Linked DNA regions of Stegostoma tigrinum. The main gene of each other region encodes a partner of the protein of the gene in region 2 in a complex. Links are inferred from orthologs where the notes say so. Each region holds a gene or a part of one and is shown on either strand. Other genes may lie near its edges.

Region 1 (3,752 bases), on a different chromosome or scaffold from region 2:
AAGAAAACCCATCCAGAAATGGGAAGAACATGCAAACTCCACATAGACAGTTTCCAGAGGTTGGAATCGAACCTGGGTCCCTGGCACTCTAAGGCAGCAGTACTGATCACTGAGCCAACATGCCATCTGAATGTGCAGATTCCACACAGTCACTTGAGGGTAGAATTGAAACTGGGTTCCTGGGGCATGAAGGAGTGGTGCTAACCACTGAACCACTGTGTCACCCTATCAACTGCCGTCTGGAAATTCAGAATTACATCTATGGACTCCCATTATCCACTTTGCTGGTTACATCTTCAAAGAAGTCTGGCAAATTGGTTAAATATGATTTGACTTTCATATAACCATTTAGATTCAGATGGATTGGGTTTTGACTTTCCAAATGTCCTGTTACTACTTCATTAATATTGGATTCCATCAACTTTATGACAGATATCAAACTAACTGATCAATAATTCTCTACTTTCTGTCTCGCTTTTTTGCTAAAGGGTATTACATTCGAATTTTTCAATCCTGTGGAACTTTCCAGAATCCATGGAATTTTGGAATATTATAACCAACGCATCCACTATTGTGGCTACCACTCCCTCGAAGATCCTATGATATAGGCTATTGGGCCCTATAGACTTGTTTGCATTAAATCCCAATAGTTTGCTCAGTACTCTTTCTCTAGTGAACAGGAATGTTGAGTTTCTCCTTTCCTATAATCTGTTCATTTGTTACTATTAGGATGGTTTCAGTATCCTCTACAATGAAACTGAGGTAAAATATTGATTTAGTGCCACTGCCATTTTTGTGTTACCCCATTATAAACTTCTCAATCTCGACCTCTTAAGTGACCAACATTCACTTTAACAACTCACTTTAGTTTTTATATACTTTTAAACAGCTTTGCTCTCCACTATTTATATTTTGTGCTAGTTTTCTTTCATAATTTGACTTTGCTCTTTTTATTACTTTTTTACTAATCCTTTGATACTCTTTAAAAGTTATCCAATTCTCTACTAGACACTTACCTCTGCAATACTGTGAGCCTTAGTTTTTGCCTTTATGATTTCTTTAACGTCCTTGCTTACCTATAAATGCTTCTCACCTCCCACCACTTAAATTATTTCTTCCTCACTGGATTATATTTTAGTTTGGAGAAACTGAACATCTCCTTCAATGTCTGCCGTTGCTCATCAACTGTCCCACCTATTTGCCTTTTTGGCTAATACATTTAGGCCAAAACTGTCCTAATGCCTATGTAATTACATCATAACACTGATGTGGGACTCAAATTTCTCACTCTCAAACTTAAATTGAAATTCAAACACACTATGTTCACTGATAAAGTGTGGGGCTAGATGAGCACAGCAGGCCAAGCAGCATCTTAGGAGCACAAAAGCTGACGTTTCAGACCTAGACCCTTCATCAGAAAAGAAACACTGTCTGCTGTTGATTGTGTATTTGAACCACATTTACTCAAACTAAATGTGAGTCTATCACGCATTTGCCAACTCTATGAAAGCTACTGAATTCATCTCACTCCCCTATAACCTTTTCTGGCATTTCTTTTTTATTACCTACAAAAATTTAACTTTTTGGTTTGGGTGATGGTTGTTACCATGGCAGCAACTATGTGGTAACACTATAGACATCACACATCTCATAATTGGTTCATCTTACAACAAAACATAAAGAATAAGCCAGTAAAACATTTGTATAAAAACAAATAATGCATACGTGTAGAATTGCTAAGTATTAAAGCGACTAAATTACAACACAACAAAAACCTTTAGCAAGCCAATCTCCAACATTCATCAATCGAGGCACTGAATAACACTTTCACATTAAATTTTGATGCTGTCCTATCATACAAAGAACAAAAGTAACTTCAAATATGATATTTTCAACTACTTTCCTCCCAATGCTGCTTATTTCTTCAAGCCAGGAATTCGCAAAAGGTAAAAGCAAGGCTTTGTTGGGCCTAGTCGGGGAATTACGAAAAGGGCTTTATTGGACGCCAGGGAAATTCTGGAAGCACAGATCCGTCTGCAATCGCGGTTTATAACAAGATGAGAGGGAAAAGAAAGAAAACGTTTTGGGGCCGAATATCCACGGAATTAAAACTATCCAACACAAACATAGAGAAGCACCTACCTCGTCAGCGCCATTTTCTCTACAAAAGTTGCTGTCAACGCCACCGTGCGTCTGACGTCACGTCACTCACCCTTGCAACGTTTGCGTCTGATGTCATCGCATATCTACCGGCCTGCCTTTGAAGACACTGCTTCTGGCGTTGTTACGCGACCCGCCTGCGTCCCTCGACGTCTGCCCACCCACGGTTCTTCCATCCTTGTTACAGGCTTTAACCTCACAGCCTTTAGTGGGTTTTAGTCGCCGTCATGACCTTTTTTGATTAACGTTTGTTTTATCATAAAAGATACTTGTTTATTTCATCCTTTGCATGCTCATCCAGTCGAGCGAACTAAAATGTGTAAAGCTGGCCCGGCATTTCATCGTTTGACCGTGGTGGTAGACATGTTGTAGTTTTTCTCCGCGGTGAGAGTCTTTTAGAAACAAACGGAACTCCCCGGCACAAATAACTACAAATCCCGGTGCACCATGCGCGAGTGGGATACTCCATTATCTGCACGGGATAGGGGTTGGGTATTCGAGTGTCAGAGGGCGAAGGTGAGTGATGACAGTCGGCGGTAAGTGCATGTCAGGCGAGACGTAGCTAACGTGATCGCCAGGAAATATAATGCTAGGCTCTGACTATAAATGAATCATATTTGTAGCTTTTGAACAGGCAACTGACAAATATATACAACAACGAACTGCGGTTACTGCAGGGCTGAAACAAACAGAAATTGCTGGAGAAACTCAGCAGGTCTGGAGTTCTGAGTCATCAGTTCTGAAGAAAGGTCTTTTTGTTTTAGTTTCCATTGATGCTGCCAGACCATCCGAGTTTCACCGCTACTTTCTGTTTCTGTTTGTGACTGACAGATATGTGTTTGATTAAATAACACTGCGAGCTGGATGCGTGGAAACTGATTACTCTCAATTGCATAAGTGAGTGAAAGGTCAGTTCTGTATAGATCACAGCAGTTCAGGGAGACTAAGAAAGCGTAAATTTTCCATAAAACCATGCAGGTAATGATATAAAGTTTGGAAATAGTTAATGTAATGTGTCAAAATGCGCATGCAAAGTTGCATAACTGTGGTATCAGCGTTGGTTGTATTGTACTAATGTCTAACTGGCAGCTGCAAAAGTTGTAAACGTACTTCCTGCTTAATTCCACAATCTGTACAGCACTATTCTCACGATTCCTATTGATGTTGGCCTTATTACTAACCTGAAAACTTGCTGAGAATACTGTTGCAAGTAATTCATTTCCATACTCCCCAAAGCATGTCTGCCATTTACAAGGCCCAAGCTAGGAGTGTGATGGAATACACCCACTTGCCTGGGTGGTACGGCTCCAGTAACACCAAGAAGCTTGACACCATCCAGGACAGGCTTGCCTGCTTGATTGGCACCACACCCACAAGCATCCACTCAGTAGCAGCCATGTGTATCATCTACAGGATGCACTACAGAAGGTCTACAAAGATCTTTAGACAGTGCCTTCCAAGCCCATACTTATTTCCATCTAGAAGGATAAGGGGAGCAGATGCATGGGAACACTTCCACCTGCAAGTCCCCCTCCAAGCTACTCATCATTCTGACTTGGAAATATATCGCCATTCCTTCACTGTCGCTGGAT
Region 2 (3,752 bases):
GAAATATAGTTAATTTAAATGCATCCTAGTTAAAACCATACTTTCCAGAAAGGAGAGTAACCGAACTGAATTGAGTCAAGGGGACAGCTGGAACAAGACTTACTCCCAGACAGCACACACACTCTGTCCCTCCCCAACAACATAACTGACAACCCCACAACCCAGTCACCTCTTCAGGACAGTATCCACAATGTTTAACAGCCAGAGTTCCAGTTCCAAAGCAGAGCTCAGGCAAGTTGAATCCCACCGTGATTAATTTTGGAACTGAAAAAAAGTACTGCAGACTTTACTGATTTTGTACTGCAAAACATTCCTTGATGATAGCTTGTCAGGCACACTTCTCACTCTGCATCACCTGTTCATGTCAGAAAATTCTATTCTGATTTCATTTTGTTGGTAAATACAGAATATCACAGTTTCTATGAAATGTCAATGTAAATTATACCTTACAAACAAAGAAGCTGATTTCTTTCGTTGGTGACTAATGAAACACTAGCTGCTGGCATAGAAAAGGATCCTCTGAAAATCTGCAGTCAACGGCAATCAGGGAAAAATTCTCCATTGCTCACAGTCGTACCTCAATCAAGGCAACATTGTTGTGGTTGTTGGAAATCAATCATTTCAGTCCCGAAAAATCACTGCAGGGAGTGCATATTTAATTTCCTGAATGCAATCATGTTCAGATGCTTCAATGACCTTCCTTCTACCATAATATCAAAAGGGGGAACGTTCACTGATGATTGCACAAAACTGAGCACCATTCACAAACCTTCAGATATTGAAGCAGTCAATCCATATGAAGCAAATCTGGACTAAATCCAGTACTGTCATGATAAGCTACAAAAAAATCACATCTCTCAATGACCAGGCAATTGTCTCTCTCCCCAGAGCCTGTGCGTTATTTACAAGATAGAGATCAAGAATGTGATGGAATATGCTCCACTTACTGGATGAGTGCGGCTCCAGCAGCACTCATGAAGCTTAATGCCAGACAAAACAAAGCATCCCATTGACCAATACCTTCTCTAATACCATCAACATTCACTCCCTTCAACACTGATGTACAATAGCAGCAGTATGCCATCTACAAGATGCACTAATAACAACTCACCAAGGTTCTTTAGACAGCACCTTCTAAATCCCCGACCCTTACCACCTAGGAGAACAAATACGTGGGAACATCAACACTTACAAGTCTCCTTTCAATCCATACACCATTCTGAACTGGAATTATATCTCCAGTCCTTCACTTTTGTTTGGTCAAAATTCTGGAACTCCCTTTCTAACAGCACAGTAGGCACACCTAACCTCAATGGACTCCAGCAGTTCAAGAAGGTGCCCTTTCAAAAGACCAATCAGGGAATGGACATAATTGCTGGCCCAGTCAGTGATGCCAACATCACATGAACAAATAAAAATAAACTTGTCAAAATGCAAGCTGTGGATCCTTTTGCATGGAACTGACAGCAATATCTGAGTTAATTTTAGGTATGCAACTGTCATTTCCAGATACTTGAGATTAATGGTGTTTCCAATCCCTCAAGTGGTGTCATTGCCTTACATTCTGTTACTCCACATATAAACCCTGTGAATATCTGCAGGATCACTGAAATAATGTACACAGAGGTGAGGGGCTGCAATGTAGAAAGAATTGCTCCCTTCCGAAGAAGACAGGGGAAAGAAAAACACAAATAGGAACTGCTGCACAAGTCTGCAGCATACAATGCCACCTAATTTAATGCTTCAAGCACTGATTAGCAAGACTAAAGAGGCAGTACAAAAAGACCAAATGATGAATCAAAACCGTAGCAACTGAGGAGTATTTTAAAGAAGAATACAGAGGTAATTCCAGAGCTCAGGGTTTAGCAGACCGAAGAAGAGTCATTAATGGAGAAGCAATTTAATATCAGGGATGCACAAGAGCACAGAATATTGGCGATGTGGGGAGATAACAGAGATGGGGAGGGGAAGGATCTGAAAAGGGTGAGAATTTTAAAATTAAAGAGGGTCATGTACTCAGGCCGAGTCGCAGTGAACTAAATGGGCTGCTTGAGCGTCACAGGGAGGGCAAAGGGCGATGGGGCCGCTCTCCCAACAGCAAGAAGAGCTCGAGGCTCACATTTTATCTTTCTGGTGCTGCCTCTTCCCCATGGTGTCGGATCAGCCGCCGCTACCTCAAACCTCCGCTCCCAACACAACCTCCCTCAGGCCGCCGGAACTGCGCTCACTTCCGGACAGACCGGTTCGCCTGTAACAAAGGGCCGGGCAAACCCGGAGCGCTGGAGGGAATGTTCCGCCCCGACTGACGTCTGGAAAGTTAACAAGGACCCAGTGCGAAATGCAGAAAGGAGGTCAAGCAGCATCATCTGCTTGGCCTGCTGTGTTCATCCAGCTCCACACTTTGTTATCTTGGATTCTCCAGCATCTGCAGTTCCCATTATCACTGCAGAAAGGAGGTGTCCTGCTGTTTGGGTCCACTGCATCATCTGCTCAGTCATTTTGAATGGCTCGATTTTATGGTCAATATACGGTTTTCCAAAAGTTTGCAGGATAACTATGGATTTATTTGCTCCATTGTGACGGCAACATAGATAGTCTAAATTAACCTGATGGGGTATGTTGTGGTATACCTTTGGCAGTAGGGTGAGACTTGAACCCAGCTTCTCCAGTTTGGAGATGAGGACACTGCCACTGAGCCGTACGAGCCAGCACATCACTGCATGGATTGCAGTGATTCAAGAAAGCAGCTCAACACCATTTGTTCAAGAGACTATGAGGCTTGGACAATAATGCTGGCTCAGCCAGTTGCGCCCACACCATCTGAATTAATGAAATACGTCTATGTATACAGAGGTTAACAATGAAAGGTAGAGACTTAGTGGCATGATGTAAAGACAACAATTTCTCCATCAAGTATAGTAGGAACCACAGATGCTGGAGAATCTGAGATAAAAAGGTGTAGAGCTGGATGAACACAGCGGGCCAAGCCGCATCAGAGGAGCAGGAAAGCTGACATTTGGGGCCTAGACCCTTCTCAGAAATTTTCGTCAGCTTGCCTGCTGTGTTCATCCAGTTCTACAACTTGTTATCTCAATCTCTCCATCAATATCAGTAACAAGCAGGAGCTGGTTATCAACTTCCAACAAGCAGAGTGAAGGACATGCAGCTGTCTGTATCAATGGTGCTGAGCTGGAGACAGTTAAGAGCTTCAACTTCCTATGAGTAAAGATCATCAACAATCTGTCCTGGTCCATCCGCGTCAATGGTCTGATTGAAAAAAAGCATACCAACACTTCTTACATCTTCAGAAGGCTAAGGACATTCAGCATGCAGCACAGAAAGTATCCTATCCAGATGCATCCCACTCCCTCGAGAAAGGAGCCAACATAATCAAAGACCCCTCCCACTCCACTCATGCTCTCTTCCATTCTCTTCCATTAGGCAGAAGTTGCAGAAGTATGAAAACACGTACCAATTAATTCAAGAACATCTTCTTCCCTGCTGTTATCAGACTTTTGATTGGACCTCTCAAATATTAAAGTTAATCCTTCACTGCACCTTCTCTGTAGCTGTAACACTATATTCTGCATTCTGTTTCACACCCTGTTATACTTATGTAAGTTATGATTTGCTTGGATAGCACACAAAACAGTATTTCAGTACATGTGAAAATAATAAATCAAATTTAATAGAATAAACCAATAAATTGACAGTGGAAAACATTTAACCATGAAATTCAAAATAATTGTTCT
Region 3 (3,752 bases), on a different chromosome or scaffold from region 2:
GAGACTTTACATAGCCAAAGCCTGGCGCCAACTTTCTGACACTTCCTCTTACTGCCTCCTCGATCATAACCCCACCCCTGACCACCAAACCATCATCTCTAAAACCATTCATAACCTCATCACCTCAGGTGACCTCCCACCTATAGCCACCAACCTCATCATTCCCCAACCCCACACTGCCCATTTCCATCTCCTTCCCAAAATTCACAAACCTGACTGCCCAACTGCCTGCTCCTGCTACAGCCTCACTTATCTCTACTTACTGTCATGATTGTCTCCCCCCCCCAGTTAGGGAACTTCCCAGCTATGCCCTAGATACCATCCATGCCTTCCACCTCCTCCAAGACTTCATTTTCACTATGGACATCCAATCCCTGCACACTTGTAACCCCACACAGATGGTCTAAAAGCCCTCTGATTCTTCCCCTCCCACAGGTCCAACCAATCCCCCTCCGCAAACACCCTCATTCACTTAACTGAATTCATCCTTACCCTTAACAACTTCTCCTTTAATTCCTCCCACTTACTACAGACAAAAAGTGTGGCCATGGGCACGTGCAGGGGCCCAAGCTACGCCTGTCTCTTCATAGGAGATGTAGAACAGCCCCTCTTCTGCTGTTACACTGGCACTGTCACCCACCTCTTCCTCCACTCTATTGAAGACTGTATTGGCGCTGCCTCAGGTTTCCAAGAGGAGCTTGAACAGTTCAACTTTACTACCACCTTTCACCCCAACCTCAAATTCACCTAGACCATCTCCAATACCTCCCTCTCTTTCCTGGGCACCTCTATCTCCATCTCTGGTGACTGCCTCGAAAATAACATCTTTTTCAAGCTCGCCAACTTCCACAGCTACATGAACTACAACTCCTCTTACCCACCTTCCTGCAAGAGAGTGTGATCCCAATTCCTCCACCTCCACTCCCGTTCCCAAGACAGGCCATTCCACTCCCGCATATCCCAGATGTCCTCCTATTTCAAGGACCATAACATTCCCCACCCCTCTTCCAGTGATCGAAAATGACCTCAACTGCCTGTCTTGTGTTTCCTGCACTTCTGCCCTCACATTCCCTTCCCGCAACAAAAATAAAGACAGAATCCCCACTGTCCTCATATCACCCTACTAGCCTCCACATCCAACATATCATTATCCACCACTTCCGCCACCTACAATCCAACCCCAAAACCAAAGAGATTTTTCTCTCTCCACCCCTACCTGCCTTTCATAGGGACCACCCCCTCTGCAACACCCTCATTCACTCCCCACTAACCCCACCAACTTTCTCTGCAACCGCAGGAAGTGCTACACATGCCCCTACACCTCACCTCCAATTCCAGGCACATAACAAACCTTCCACATCAGATAGGGGTTCACCTGAACATCAGTCAGCTTAGTCTACTGATGCTAAGCTGCTCCCAATGTGGTTTTCTTTACATTGGTGAAACCAGGCGTACTCAAAGACCATTTCCATCAAGCATCTATGCTTTGTACACAAGCAATGACAACACCTTCTGATCACAAACCATTTTAACTCCCACTCCCTGGGTGACATGTCCATCCTAGGCCTCCTCCAGTGTCTCAAATGACACCACCCACAAACTGGAGCAGCAGCACCTTATATGCCACCTTGGGAGCCTACATCCCAATGGTCTGAACATGGAATTCACCAGTTTTAAAATCTCCCCACCCCCAGCATCATCCCATACCCAACCCTCTCTCCCTCAAACACAACCCATCCATCTTCTCTCTCACCTATTGTCCCTCCCACCTCACCGAACAATCCCCACCGCTCCCTACCTGTTATCACTTTCCACAACCCATCCCTCATCTCTATTTATTTCAGAGCTCCCTTCCCCAAGACGATCTGGACCTGAAATGTCAACTTTTCTACTCCTCTGATGCTTTCTGACCTGCTGTGTTCCTCCAGCTATACACTTTGTTATCTCTGACTCCAGCATTTGCAGTTCTTGCTATCTCTTAATGTTTGAACTTGAAATGTTTGAGTTGGTATAGAACCTACCATACAGGAAAATGTTCCTAGATAGTGAACTATTTCATGAGTAAATAAGAAAACAATTTGTAGAGCTGGATGAACACAGCAGGCCAAGCAGCATCAGAGGGGCAGGAAGGCTGACATTTTCAAGGCCCGAAATGTCAGCCTTCCGGCTCCTCTGATGCTACTTGGCCTGCTGTGTTCATCCAGCTCTACAAATTGTTACCTCAGATTCTCTAGCATCAACAGTTCCTACTATCTCTGAATCTATTTCATGACTAAATCCGGTTTGATTGAAATCCTGGTACTAGATATCTAACTAATTACTTGAAACAACACTAATCTTCTCGGAAACGTTAGCAAAGCAGTCAAATTGTGAATGGCGTAAATCAACTTCTCAATAATATAAAATTCACGGAACCAGTGTAACGAAAAAAAACCGCATCAACACACAAGAACATAATAAATAAAGGACACAACCTGATCAACTCAAAATCCCCATCGACGGAAGTTGTAAAAAAACGTAACCGTACTTTTACGAGATTCGTCGCTGATCATGCGCATATGACCCACAACACCACTTCGTCTTCCCGGCAGCGCCGACGGGCGGCGAGGATGCATTTCCATTTAAAAGGCCATTTCAATCGTTTCCTTTTTTTATTCAGCGCCTTTCATGACACAGGACATCTCACGTGATTTTGAAGTGTTTCACACAGCAATCAGTTTGAGCACAACATGTTCCAGAACCAATCATGCGATAATGAACAGACAATTAATATCTCTAATGATTAAGGGACACCTCTCTGAAATGGTGAAATGAGATCTTTTAGGGGCATCTGAGAGAGCAGACACGATCTTGGTTTTAAAATCAGAACAGTACTGAAAGTACAGCAAACCTCAGCATTATACTGGAGGATCGGCGTAAATTTTAGACCCAGAATGGCAGCCCTGTGACATAGAGGAGAGTGACTGTCAAGTCACGACTGACAACTACACGATACTTTCAAAAAGCATGCTGGTATATTGCAAAGTTACAGAAGCCAGTACAGACCGATGTATGGCACATCTATCATGTAATTTAACACACGATCTTAGTACTTTGCAAATCAGTCTGAGTCAAATGTTTCATAACTATGTGCGTGAAACGTTTGAATGGGTACTGTTCATGCGGAGGTCATGAACTTGTTTTGGCTGGTTACCTCCTGACTTCCTGTTCTCTTCTGAAAGTGTTCACTATTGTTTGTGTTTGAGTACAGTACATTCATCCATTAGTAAATTATCAAAATAAAATAAAACGTTTACGTTGGCTGTCTAATTCGCCTGCAACGCAAGAATTAGTGTTTAGACTTCCATGATCTATAATCCATGTTATTGATTCAACATGTGTTGGCTGCCTGTAGTCTTTCCAAGTCTGCTGACAAGCTAGATAGGAAATTAAGTTGTCATGAAGATGTATTCAAAATCACTGCAACCATCAAACTGGAGTGATCTTCATTCTCTTCACACATGACAGATGTGCCATATATTGCTCTGTATTAGGTTGTGTTGCTTTGCAATCCACCACCATGATCAGGAATGCCATTGAACTGGTATCTGGGCAAGACCATTCTCTCTGATGAAGGGTCTAGGCCCGAAACATCAGCTTTTGTGCTCCTGACTTGCTGCTTGGCCTGCTGTGATCATCCAGCTTCACACTTTGTTATCTTGGATTTTCCAGCATCTGCAGTTCCGATTATCTCTGAAGACCATTCATACTTG

The links. The genes of interacting proteins can lie anywhere in the genome.
Region 1: ppil2 (region 2) and snw1 share a complex: the UniProt entries of both Homo sapiens proteins name them as parts of the minor spliceosome. The link is inferred for Stegostoma tigrinum from reciprocal best matches to the Homo sapiens genes PPIL2 and SNW1.
Region 3: ppil2 (region 2) and armc7 share a complex: the UniProt entries of both Homo sapiens proteins name them as parts of the minor spliceosome. The link is inferred for Stegostoma tigrinum from reciprocal best matches to the Homo sapiens genes PPIL2 and ARMC7.

What each region holds. Positions count from the first base shown.
Region 1 is NC_081363.1:13,496,106-13,499,857, reverse strand, and holds the start of snw1 (SNW domain-containing protein 1), read right to left. Parts: upstream 2,254-3,752; 5' UTR 2,157-2,253; coding exon 2,143-2,156; intron 1-2,142. Other genes in the region: adck1 (aarF domain-containing protein kinase 1), read left to right, coding at 2,684-2,696. UniProt on the Homo sapiens protein: Involved in pre-mRNA splicing as component of the spliceosome. As a component of the minor spliceosome, involved in the splicing of U12-type introns in pre-mRNAs.
Region 2 is NC_081379.1:43,745,241-43,748,992, reverse strand, and holds the start of ppil2 (RING-type E3 ubiquitin-protein ligase PPIL2), read right to left. Parts: upstream 2,236-3,752; 5' UTR 2,152-2,235; coding exon 2,120-2,151; intron 1-2,119. UniProt on the Homo sapiens protein: Has a ubiquitin-protein ligase activity acting as an E3 ubiquitin protein ligase or as an ubiquitin-ubiquitin ligase promoting elongation of ubiquitin chains on substrates.
Region 3 is NC_081370.1:17,573,573-17,577,324, reverse strand, and holds the start of armc7 (armadillo repeat-containing protein 7), read right to left. Parts: upstream 2,582-3,752; 5' UTR 2,475-2,581; intron 1-2,474. UniProt on the Homo sapiens protein: As a component of the minor spliceosome, involved in the splicing of U12-type introns in pre-mRNAs.